2 linked regions of the Caenorhabditis elegans genome follow. The protein of the gene in region 1 purifies or fractionates together with the protein of each later gene. This does not show direct contact. Each region holds a gene or a part of one and is shown in the gene's direction. Other genes may lie near its edges. The genes, in order: ncs-2 and F56A8.3.

The links.
Region 2: the proteins of ncs-2 (region 1) and F56A8.3 fractionate together in Caenorhabditis elegans (co-fractionation; one large-scale study listed by BioGRID). This does not show direct contact.

Annotation. Positions count from the first base shown.
Region 1 is NC_003279.8:10,032,780-10,036,379, reverse strand, and holds ncs-2 (Neuronal calcium sensor 2), read left to right. Parts: upstream 1-1,563; 5' UTR 1,564-1,600; coding exon 1,601-1,711; intron 1,712-1,781; coding exon 1,782-2,054; intron 2,055-2,158; coding exon 2,159-2,347; 3' UTR 2,348-3,100; downstream 3,101-3,600.
Region 2 is NC_003281.10:13,254,695-13,263,112, forward strand, and holds F56A8.3 (Disease resistance R13L4/SHOC-2-like LRR domain-containing protein), read left to right. Parts: upstream 1-2,185; 5' UTR 2,186-2,209; coding exon 2,210-2,403; intron 2,404-2,460; coding exon 2,461-2,557; intron 2,558-2,607; coding exon 2,608-2,893; intron 2,894-5,896; exon of another isoform or gene 5,897-5,938; coding exon of another isoform or gene 5,939-5,945; intron 5,946-6,044; coding exon 6,045-6,194; intron 6,195-6,949; coding exon 6,950-7,169; intron 7,170-7,215; coding exon 7,216-7,381; intron 7,382-7,435; coding exon 7,436-7,562; intron 7,563-7,747; coding exon 7,748-7,842; 3' UTR 7,843-8,196; downstream 8,197-8,418. Other genes in the region: F56A8.9 (CAB39 protein), read left to right, coding at 1-153, 209-306, 354-473, 961-1,166, 1,487-1,604.

The DNA of each region.
Region 1 (3,600 bases):
ACACACTTCCAAGCATTTTCGGACCAGAAGAGCGATTCCTTAGAGTTTGTCTAGGCATCTGTTTCCGGATGTGAAACACACGTGCCAAATTTTTCTTTTATGATTTATTGAAATTTGAATTTTTATACCTTAAAAATCTAAATTTGTTGTTCTCTCTATTAATTCGATGGTCTTCATTTTTGTTCACAGTCAAGTTCATTTTGCAATATTCCTTGCTTTATCGAAATTTCCTTGAGTTTGTCTTCTTATCACACCTCTTCTCTCCAACACTTTTTATGTGTGCCAACGTGGCCGTAGGTCTATCACCATCGTCCGTCATTTTGCATGCGTCATCGAGCACTACCAGAAACTCGAAAGAGAGAGAGAGAGAGATTGATGCAAAGACACGGCGCCGAAAGTGGCGCTTATTAGCAATTCTGGTGTATGTATGTATGTATTTCTGTGTGTGTATGTAGTACTGGCCATGGTGAGAATATGTGTATATGTGTGTGGTTGTGCTCATCTGAATATCCATTTCACATCAGCAGCCATCGTGTCTTTCACACTTTCCCATTTCGAACATTTCTCTTTTTGAAATGGAATTCTTTATGTTTCCTCAAAAGCTTCAAGTGTCAAGTTATAAGACTCGAGTTGCACATACAATATGCCTCATATTTCTAGAAATTGAGATGGTTTATGATGACATCTAATTTCGGGTTTTCTCGATGGAAAGAGGACAAAATTATAATGTAAAACCAAAATATACTTGCTCGTCGAGCAGACGATATTGGTTATTGATAAGGACAAAAATTTGAGTCAATTCACTTTTCGAACTATCTTAAGTTGAAATGCGACCCACAATTATTTCTGATCCTTGCTTTTTCGAGGTGGGTACAGGTCGGTAATGTCGAGGAATGACAAAGGTTTACCACAAAGTTAATTTCTTGATAAGTTTGTAAGTGTTACTTCAATGTATTCTAGACTATAGGATTGTTTGTTGACTTTTGCATAGCTACTGCTAACTAGTCAATAAACTGAAGATTCGTAGACTAGATTGAACCATATTTGGTAGATTCTGGCAGTTTCACCAAACCTCTAGATCTATAGATTTGGATTACTGTTATTGTTCATGTTTCTGCGACTTCTTCCTCTTTCATCTTCCTGCTGCGTCTCGTCTGCTTTAATGATTTCTCCTAAACACTCATCCGTCACTCACAACACTCACTCCTCACGCACGCATACACCATCATCGATTTGTAGGCTTCCATGAGCGAAGAGACAGACGACAGTGAGACGGCAGTGAGCGGGCGCGTCTGACGGCGCCGTTTAGTGCATATAACATGCTCTTCATCATATTCTTTTTCGCCCCATATCAATTCAGGGGCGCCTCCTTTTCCTCTTTACCACCCCGCTCCTCGTTATTTTTATTATTCATTCAATTCCCTTGTCTCTCTCTCTCTCTCTCTGTATCTCATTTTCTTTCCATTTCTGACTATATCTACATAGCTTTATGTATCATTTTCTTATCAATTGCCTTCTTAAAAATATTCTGTTTTGTTACATGAATTTCTCGTTTTTTTGCAGCCCTACACTACACCTAGAAGACGAATAAGCCCAAACCATGGGAATCAAGGGTTCCAAGCCAAAACTCTCCAAAGAGGATTTGGAGTTTTTGAAAAAGAACACAAATTTCACCGAAGAGCAGATCAAAGAATGGTATAAAGGATTTGTGGTAAGTTTTTCGTTTTTTGGCTTGAAACGATAAAAGCTGACATGATTCTGTAAAATTTTGCAATTTTCAGCAAGATTGTCCGAAAGGCCACTTAACCAAGGAGCAGTTCATAAAGGTGTATAAGGATTTCTTCCCGTCAGGTTCTGCAGAAGGATTCTGTGAACATGTATTCCGAACATTCGACACGGATAACTCGGGTTTTATCGACTTCAAAGAATTTTTATTGGCAATTAATGTGACGAGTTCCGGAACGCCCGAGCAGAAACTTGAATGGGCTTTCCGTATGTACGATATTGATGGAAATGGTACGATAGACGAGAAGGAAATGATCAAGATTATTGAGGTGAGCTTTTTTCAATCAGAAACAAAAGAAAACGGAATTATTTCCCTTCTTTGAAAAGTGTCAAGTGTCACTTTTAATCGTCATCCTAAAAATAAATTCTTCAGGCCATCTATGAAATGCTCGGCCCAGAAGTGACAAAATCTGCTGACGACTCTCCAAGAAAGAGAGCCAAGATGATCTTCGAGAAGATGGATGTTAACAATGATAAAGAGCTGACATTGAAGGAATTCGTTGACGGCTGCCTTGCTGATAAGGAGCTCTTCCAAATTTTGACCAATGAAGTCAAGAAGTAAACGAACTTTCTTTCAAGTTTTTTGCCCTAAAATTGTTTTGTCTAATATTATTTGCTCTTAATTCTCTCACGATCCGCTGTGATTCCTTCCTGAAGTTCGTCCTCCTCGTCTCCCTGTCTCCCGCGAAGCATTCCAGCCGTCTCCCCATAATCCCGGAAAGTTTATTTCTTCTCCACAGACACACACACTTCGTTGCCATTAATTTTTGCTCCCTACTTACCAGCCTGTAGTAGTGTTTATTTAATATCGACCACAGCTTCTTTTTTCTTTATTCGTCGTTTTTGTGCTCTCTTCTTTTTCATTTTCTCCTTCTTCCGTCTAACCACAGACTCAAAAAATTATCACTAATCCATTACTAGACGACGGATTAGAGTCTTCTCCTCTCTGCCTTTCAAATTCTTTCTCTATACTCCTTCCCAAATCCCTTCAATAATCGATCGATGTGTGTACCTAGGTACCGTACCCCATGTAGCTTTTTTGCCTCTTGTCACTCCACTTTCCTTAACAGCTCGGTTAAAACTCAAAGCTCTTGCACTTTTCCTTTATGCGAAATCAAATTTTTATATTATTATTATTATTATTTGAAAATTTGAATAATAAGAAAATAAGTTGTATGCGGTAAATTATTATTTTTAATTCTTTTCTTCATTTTTTTCCTTCTCTCGTTCCACCTCTCTTGACTTCATTTGTCTCCATTCTCAGTTTTCACCCATATATAATTTCATATAAAATAAAATCTGTGTAAATTTTAAACCAAGTTTCATTGGCTTTCTCTCGAATTTCGATTTTCGCATCATTTCAATTTCAATTTCACTGCACACAGAACCCTGGTCCCAAGATGTTAACCTATTTGCCGAGTCTCAAATGGCCACATAGGTAATTCAATCTAATTTTCCCGAGCTCGCCCTCCTCGTCTTGTCGTCCGCGTGTGCTCATCATCGTCCTTCAAATCCGATTACGTGGTGTGGCAACAACGAGACGAAGCATAAGAAGTAGAAGAAGAAAAGGAAGAAGCTTCACATGATCAACGTCTTTTATTTCGAAACATATACGGTAATAGGCCCGAAAGACAGTCGAGACCGATTTGTCAGGGTCAATTTTTTTGTTGCTCTTTTTCTTATATTTTGTAGCTCCAAGTGCCAACATCATAAATACCGAATGCGAAGTGTCTAGAACCTCTTCATTCTTCTGAATCTCTCCTTCTCTCCCACTTTCGCCTTCTGGTCGTTCATGTTTCATTTATCAGCCAGTTT
Region 2 (8,418 bases), on another chromosome or scaffold:
GTTCCTTCCAACTCGTCCTACTCCTCACGACAGTCGTCTCCTCGGTTCTCTCAAAAATCGATCATGTCAAGGAGAAAACAGGCGAAACGCATTCGGATCCAGCTAAATTGAAAACGAAAGAAGCGCCCGAGCATATTGATCACAAGAAATTATGTTAGTTTTTTGGTTTTTTTTTAATTCAATTTAAAAAAACGTTAGATTATTTCAGTCACCGAAAGCTTCAAACAACGGAGAATCGAGCATACGACCGCAATTGAGTCGATTAAAAAAATTGGAAAAGACAAGCGGAGATTGTTTTTGGAAGATGTAAGAGTATTATTAAATGTGACCAAATTTATCTCAATGTGCTTCAGGTTTTGAAAAATGTGCAAAACCTGCTGAAAGAGTCGCGAGAAGCTTTGGAACGGACCGCCCATCGATCGGATTCGCCGTTCCCACACGGTAGTGAGCTGCTCAAGGATGCACTTTCCAAGGTGAGTTTTTGAAACTTATATTACCCAGACGTGAAATTTGCCAATTTTGGCGCCAAAAGTACGGTAGCCGGTCTCGAAACGACCAATTTTTGCCAAAAATTGTGTGCTCCTTTAAAAGGAGCTTTTATCAATTTTTAACAAACCGTGAGAAAAACAAGGAAAAATCGATGAAAATTTTCTTTGCTACAAAATTTTGAGATTACAGCACTCTTTAAAGGCGCACACTTGTTTAGAATTTAACAAAAAATTTCGTGTCGAGACCTGCCACCGTACTTTTGCCTAATGATTTTTGAATTGAAATTTTTTAGTTGGAATGATGTTGGAAATATTTTTGAAGTTGAAAAAAATGGTTTTGATTTTTTTTTTTTTTTGAAAAAATACTACTTCCTAACGAGACCCAAGTATTGGGGTGGAGTTTTTCGTTGAAGCGCGATTGAACTTCAATTTGAAAAGACACATTTTCTCACAAATATGATACATTTTACAGCTCCACGAGAACATCGCCTTCTTCACAGACCTCTCACTAGCGTTCTCGAAATTTTTCGAAACGAAAATCCAAAAGGATCGGAAATTGAAGACTTTGATCGTCTGGGCCTACAATTATTCTATCAAAACTGGCATTTTTGATGAGGAAACTGAAAAGAAAGTGCAACTAATGGCTCAACAACACGAGTTTATTGAGAAAAATGAAAAGTATGAGAGTTCTTGGCTGGACCCGGTCTCGACACGACTTATAAGAGAAAAGGTGTGCGCCTTTAAAGAGTACTGTAATCTCAAACTTTTTTATCTGGGATTTTTTTTTAATCGATTTTCATAGTGTTTTCTTTCAATTCGTTGGAAATATAGTGTTTTAATATTAAATTTGAATTTGTTAATCAAAAAATTATGAAAATTCAGCTGAAACGAAAGTTAGGAACTACAGTACTCTTTAAAGGCGTACTACTCTTCGCAATTGAAACAAATTTGTCGTGTTGAGACCGTGATTTGGCTCAAAAAATGTGTTTTTTTTAAAGATTTTTCAATTCCTACGATAAGGATCGCGTTAAAGAAGATTTAGAAGCTGAGGAAATGAAAAGAAAAGAGAAAAAATCGAACAAAGCCGAGAAGAAGCAACCGAAAGGAGAGTTATAATTTTTTTTTCTTCAATTTTTGTGTTTTTTTTTCCTGTTTATAACCGAACTCGTCAAATTTGGCCATAATATTTTGATTTTATTTGTCATATATTTAGTTATTTAGGTTGAGTACAATTCGATTTTCAAGGTGCTATTTAATAATAATTATAAAGATGTTTTTTTTTTTCAATTCAGTTTTTAAAATATGGTTTTCAACCCATAGTTTATATCAACTATCAAAATATTCCATTATTTTTACTTACAAAACTGCAATTTGGAAAATTAATTTGGGCCCTATTGGGTTTATTTGTTTCAAAACCAATTCATAAATTTGAACTTCCCTCCAAAATGCCACAACGACGCTCCGAAATTCCGCATACGCATGTTGTTTATCGTAAATTCACACAAATTAGTTTGCTGATTTTTCTTCCTATTTTCTTTTTTTTCCCCAAGTTCAGAGGTTATACATTTTATTCAAAGCTTTCTCCAGATTTATTTTAATATTTTATCGTCTCTTCTTTCACATGCACACTTTTACGTTACCATCCCAACAATGCCGCGTGTCGAAAAATTTTTTTTCGCAATTTTTTAAATTTCTAGGGAATTTCTCTGTGTGAAACTACAATGTCATCGCATAAATATAGTCTGACGGAGCTCAAAAACTTGCAAGAAGATGATGAGTTGGATTTATCGGCAAGCGGAATTCAAGAATTCCCCAATGCAATCGTCCAACTGCCACGGTTGACGAAATTGGATCTGAGCTCAAATGCAATCACTTTCTTGCCGGAATCTTTCTGCAAGATGACTAAGCTTATTCGGTAAGAGTTTTAAGCTGAAAATTTTTGTATATTTTAATTTAATTTTTCCCTTTTAAGGTTAGACTTCGGAAGTTGCCAGCTTCATCATCTCCCTGATGGAATCGGGCTCTTGACAAGCTTGCAGCACTTGAACCTTTATAACAATCAAATAGAGGTATTTAAAAAATCGGCTAAGGCATGTAGAAATCAATCAATATTTTCCAGGACTTGCCGCTCTCGTTCGCCAACTTAAAATCCTTGAAGTGGCTGGATTTGAAGAAAAATCCGCTCAACTCGAAGCTCGCCGCCATCGCAGGAAACTGTGGGACTGATGCCGAGTGTAAGCAGGCTGCCAAGCAAGTCGTCGACGTTTATATGGGCGAGCAGAAGAAGGCCATCGATAGCCTGAAAGCCCAGGAAGCTAAGCATAAGGCCAAGGTGCAGAAGGCCCAGGAAGAGGAGAGAATGAAGAAGAATCAGGAGAAAAAGGAGAAGGCGGCGGCTAAAAAGGGTACATTTGCAGGAAAAAAAACTATAGAAATATTCTGGAATTTGAGATATCAGAGCCCGTTTTCCATTAATAACGCATTTTCAGAATTTCCGGAAATTCTGCAGTTTCCTGGATGATTTTCTCAATTTTACAGGAAAAAATGATCAAATTTTGACATTTTCTTTAAATATGGCGAGATAACTAGCCATAATATAATTGTTAAAAAATTAGTTAAATTTTGCAAAAATTACATAATCATCCGTTTTTTCTTTAACATGGTAAGAAATCTGGCTATTCTGGGAGAAATTCACTTTAAAAATACCAAAATTGGCTTAAAAATCGATAGTTCAACCGAAAACTGTCAGAAAAGTACTTTTAAAAGTGACACAAAAACTGAGAATTTTCAATTAATATATGTATTTGTATATTAATTGAAATTTCTCAGCTTTTGTGTCATTTTTCTGGCAGTTTTCGGTGGAATTATCGATTTTTAAGCCAATTTTGATTTTTTTAAAGGCAAATTTCCTCCAGACTGGCTAGTTTTATCGCCATGTTAAAGAAAAAACGGATGATTATGTAACTTTTGCAAATTTTAACTAATTTTTAAACAATTATATTATGTCAATTAATATTCACGAATATTATACTTTGAATACAGAGGATAAAATTGAAGGAGCAGGTGGCGGATAAAGGCACACACACAGCATCTGTCAATTTCTTGCTCTCTCTCTCTCTCTTCCTTTTTCTCGTCGTCATTTTCTATTCCTTTTGTGTTCAAATCCTTCCCCCTTTCACTATATACGAAGACGACGCCGCCTGTGAGCATCTGGAAAGAGCACGCAACTATTGGAGACATAGAGAAGCTCGAGACCTCCGTTTGTGGCAGACCCCACTCGTCGTCCTCCTCCTCAGCATTTTCTCATCGTTTTTGACGGCGATGCTTCTTCGTTGGAGGTGTCGGATTTCTTGTTATCACGTTGTTTTAAGCATGTTTTCTGATGGAATATGAGTTCGCGTCGTAAAATGATTTTTTGCAAAAAACTGCAAATTCGATTTGAAAATTCCCATTATTTGAAACAATTTCTGCAGGAGAACCACATTGACGATGAATCACTTTTCATTTTGGTTCCGTTGTGAGCTGATGGGAATTGAATCGTCGTATCGTAGTGACCACTGTGACTGAGATCGTGGCGAGACCCACTTTAAAATAACGTACAAATTTTTTTTCAAAATTACGATACCCATGTTCATTTTCTAATTTTTCATCTGGTTGAACTGCTAAGGTCGACTGCACTACTTGCAGTCCGATTGCACAACTGACCACAACCAACCACGTACGTTTTGTGTGTGTGTATGTGTATGTGAAAAATGAGACAGTGCACGGATCAATAGAGACGCAGACACTTTGAAAAAGCGCCTGTCCGACCGGTGACCCCCCTCTCCTCTTTTCTCTGTTTAGTTTTTAAAACTAAGCGATTGGATAGTCAGTGTTGTTATTGTGGCTGTTTTGCAGTTCGGAACGTGTGAATACCTGTTCTTCGCCGGTTTCCAGTTGATAATCCTTAGGTTTTTCTGCAGACATGGTATTTTTAGATATAATATTTTTATTTTTAATACCTATATTTTTTCATGGAAAGTGAAATGGAGCTTCTTTTGAGAATCTATTTTTTTTCATTTTCATTTTAAAAAAGCAGAATGCTGTATTTAGCCTTGTAAATCTACGGGATCTCTGTTGCCTCGGCAGGTAATCTTGGCCATTTTTCAGAGCATTTATTGGCGATGAGTGCTCTAGCAAGATATATCTATCTGTATCTAGCTAGATCTTGCTAGAGCAGTCATCACCAATAAATGTTCTGCAAAAAGGTCAAGATTACCTGCAGAGACAACCTAGATCCCGTAGATTTACAAGGAAGTAGTGGCTGTCTTCCCATTATCTCATCAGCAATCTTCCAATACCTTTCCAATTGATGACTGTCCAACTAGCAACATATCGGATTTACCTACCTACTTACCTGTTAGTACCTCACATCATGGATGGGCGGCAATCGCCGTCCGGCAAATTTTTTGGTCGATAAATTCGGCAATTCGACACAATTGCCGATTTGCCGGAAATGTTTAGAAGGATTTTTTTTATCAGACGGAAATCCTTAAAATTGTGTCTTTTTGAAATTTTTTCCCATTTTCTTTAGATATTTTCATAGAATTTTCTTACTTTTCAAAATAGATGTAAGAGCATTCATAGGATGCGTAGAATTTTGCCGATTGAAATTGAAATTCTGAAATTTCCAAAAAAAAAATAGCGCAAAACCCCCAATTTGCCAGTTTGCCGATTTGCCGAAAATTTTAATTTCGGGAATTTGCCGATTTGCCGGAAATTTCAATTCTGAGAATGTGCCGATTTGCCGAAAATTTAAATTCCGGGAATTTGCCGATTTGCCGGAAATTTTCAATTTCGGCAATTTCCCGATTTGCCGGAAATTTTCAATTTCGGCAATTTGCCGATTTGGCTGAAAAATATTCAGTGTTCAATTGACGCAAACTGTAATAATCGAAAAGCTATTGGTATTTATATTCTCCAGTTGAAATAAATATATTTTGTTTGACCTACAAGTTTTTGATCTACTGCCAGTCTTTCGAACCGCGTCTACCAAAAAGGAGCGGAACAAAAAAAGATGATACAAATTCTTCCGTCACTTCTTTTCCCGTCGAACTTTTTCTTTTTGATTGACACTTTTTTTTTTGAAATTAGATTTTTGATCTTTTTAGTTGAAGAAATTCGAGTAGTACGCCGGCTTTATCACAATATTTTTTCTTAACAAACGTCATATTTTTCTTAATATTTACTATAAAAGTTGTAAAACCTACGTGGATGACCTCTGTGATACGTTTGCCTCGTTGTTTTTTTTGTTTGTCGAATGTTCTTTGATTGTTGATGTCTTTTTTATTTATTTTTTCGCTCGCCTCTTACTTTTTTTGTTGATAATTTTCTGTAGATCACCCAAATATTTACGTTTTTTTTTTCAGTTTTCTCCTTCCCACTCAAACATTACGATTCCGAAGAACAGGATGGCTAGTAAGTTTTGGAAATTTTTTAATGGACGGGCTCTGAGCAAATTCTTCAAAAATTTCAAAAAAAAATTGATTCCACACTTTTAATCCAAAAATTTTCCAGAGAAAGACGCCAAGCAGCAGCGCGAAACTGTCAACGCCGCTTCTCACAAGAACAACCACTCCCAGCAGCCAAAATCGCAGAAGAAGGAGCCGCATCCGAAGAAGAATGAGCAGAAGAAGACGGAGCAGCCACGTGGATTCTTCAGAAAATGTAAAAAAATCTGAGAAATTTTTATATTTTTCGACATTTTCAAGCGAAACACCGAGCCGATATCCCTTTGTGTAGATTTACGAGCTCGTGTACTATGCGTGGGCAAGATTTAACTGATTTTCTTTATATTTTAGATTGTCAATATTTGCCAATTTAACATGTTAAATGCAAAAAAAGTTAGCGAAAAACTGCAAAATCCTGCAAGAAAAATGGATTCAAGCTTGCCCGCGCGAGCTCGTAAATCTACACAAATCTTAAAGGGACATTGAGAAAACAATTTGTTTTCCAAGCCTACCAACGTCATATATTTCTTATCAATGCTCGGTATGATTACGTTGAATAAGCAACCACGTTATTTTTCAGTATTTCTAGCTTAAAACTGCAAAAAAAAACGTCTAGAATGCTGGAAAAAGGTATTCAAAATTCAGAAAACCACATTTAAAAAAAAAGTAAAATTTTGATTTTTTGAATTACCGCGCTTGTGTCGCTAAACTCCGCCCATAAAACCGTGCCGCACTTTTGTTTTTTTCAATTTCGACGCAAATTAATTGACACTTTTTTCGCTAAAAATTTGAAAAAACAGCACAAAAAAGCCGAAGTGCGGCACGGTTATATGGGCGGAGTTTAGAGACAAAAGCGCGGTAATTCAAATGAGGAAAATTGGCAACAATTTCCATTCTTTCTCTATAGCTTTCTAAAAAATTCGAAGTTCGATGCACCATGAATTTTAGTCAAATTTAATGATATTTTTTCAGTGTTCGGATTCGTCTGGTCATGCGTCTTCTACCTGACAATCGTCGTCGCAACATCGAGCACCGTTGCAATCGCGCTCGACTGCAAGGGCCTCGGATCACCGATTCCTGGAACTGCTCCACTGTGCAAGGATCTTACATTGATGGCGACTGGAAACAAACCATCTGCCGCATTTGTTAAGAACACCAGAGCCGCCTACGGATCAGTCTTGCAAGGATATCAGTGAGAATTTGAAGAATCCCATAAAAATTTTGATAGTTTTTTTCAGCAACCAAGTCAAGCCACACGTTGCTCCAGTTCAAGCCGCTGTCAGCAAAAAATGGAAGCAGTTTGCCAAGTCTGATGTTGGAGGAAAAGTCGAAAAGATTGCTATGAATATTCACGCTTGGATTGTGGATAAATGGGTCAAAATTCAGAGATTCGTTCAACAGACGGTATATTCTTTGATACAGAGGTTTAACAAATTATATAAATATCACAATTTTCAGTGGAACAACGTTGCGGCTTGGTGGAAGAAGAACGGGCAAAAACAGTTTGGTCCAGCTCTTGAAGGATTCGTACTTGGAGTCAAGATGGTTTTCCAAGTCGTTGCTGATGCTCTTCGCAGTGTTGGAGGTGCGGAATTTCGCAATTTTAGCTTCAGAACTACGGTAGCCGGTCTCGAAGCGAATTTTGCAAGTACAGTAATCCTTATGGGCGCACACATATTTGCACTTGAAAAAAATCGGACCTGCTACCGTATTTTCTGAGCAAAAATCGCAACTTATTAAAAATAATATCTCTAATTCCACTTTTTTCAGCTCTATTAGTCCATTTCTTCGCTCGCGCCAAGACTTTCTTCGTTGCCTTCGCCGATGGTGGATTCAATGCTGCAATGAACACTTTGAACCACTAGAACCCACACATTTCATGATCAAGTCTCAATTCTTTGTTCTGAAAGTGTTGTTTATTCTCCTCTCCTCTCTCTCCTCCTGCCCACTACGGTTATCGTCCCTTCAAAAAATCGATAAATTTACTCGTAGTTATCCACGTTTCCTCGAATTTAGTTGATTTTTGTAGATCATTTTTCTCTAAAAATCGAATCCCCCGCCCCGCCCCCGCCTCCACCTTTCCAATATATTTTATTTATTTTCACTACGTCTTCTTACTGGTGTTTTTCCGTTTTTTTTGTTGTAGTTGCGGTTTGTTTCGGATCGCACACAATTTGTTTCCTCAGTATTTCATTTAATTTATATATGAAAATAATTATATTCACTGGTTTTTCAATTGTTTTTGGTATTTTGTCCCTTGAACTATATTATGTTACAGTTGGAAAATACGGGACCCGAGGTCTCGGCACGACAATTAAATTCGAAGAAGTGTGCGCCTTGAAAGAGACTACTGCGGATTTTTTTTTGTTTTTCACAAGAATTTTTTTAAAAAATTAAAAACGGGATATTTATATAATTCGATAGAAATTCTGGAACAACGA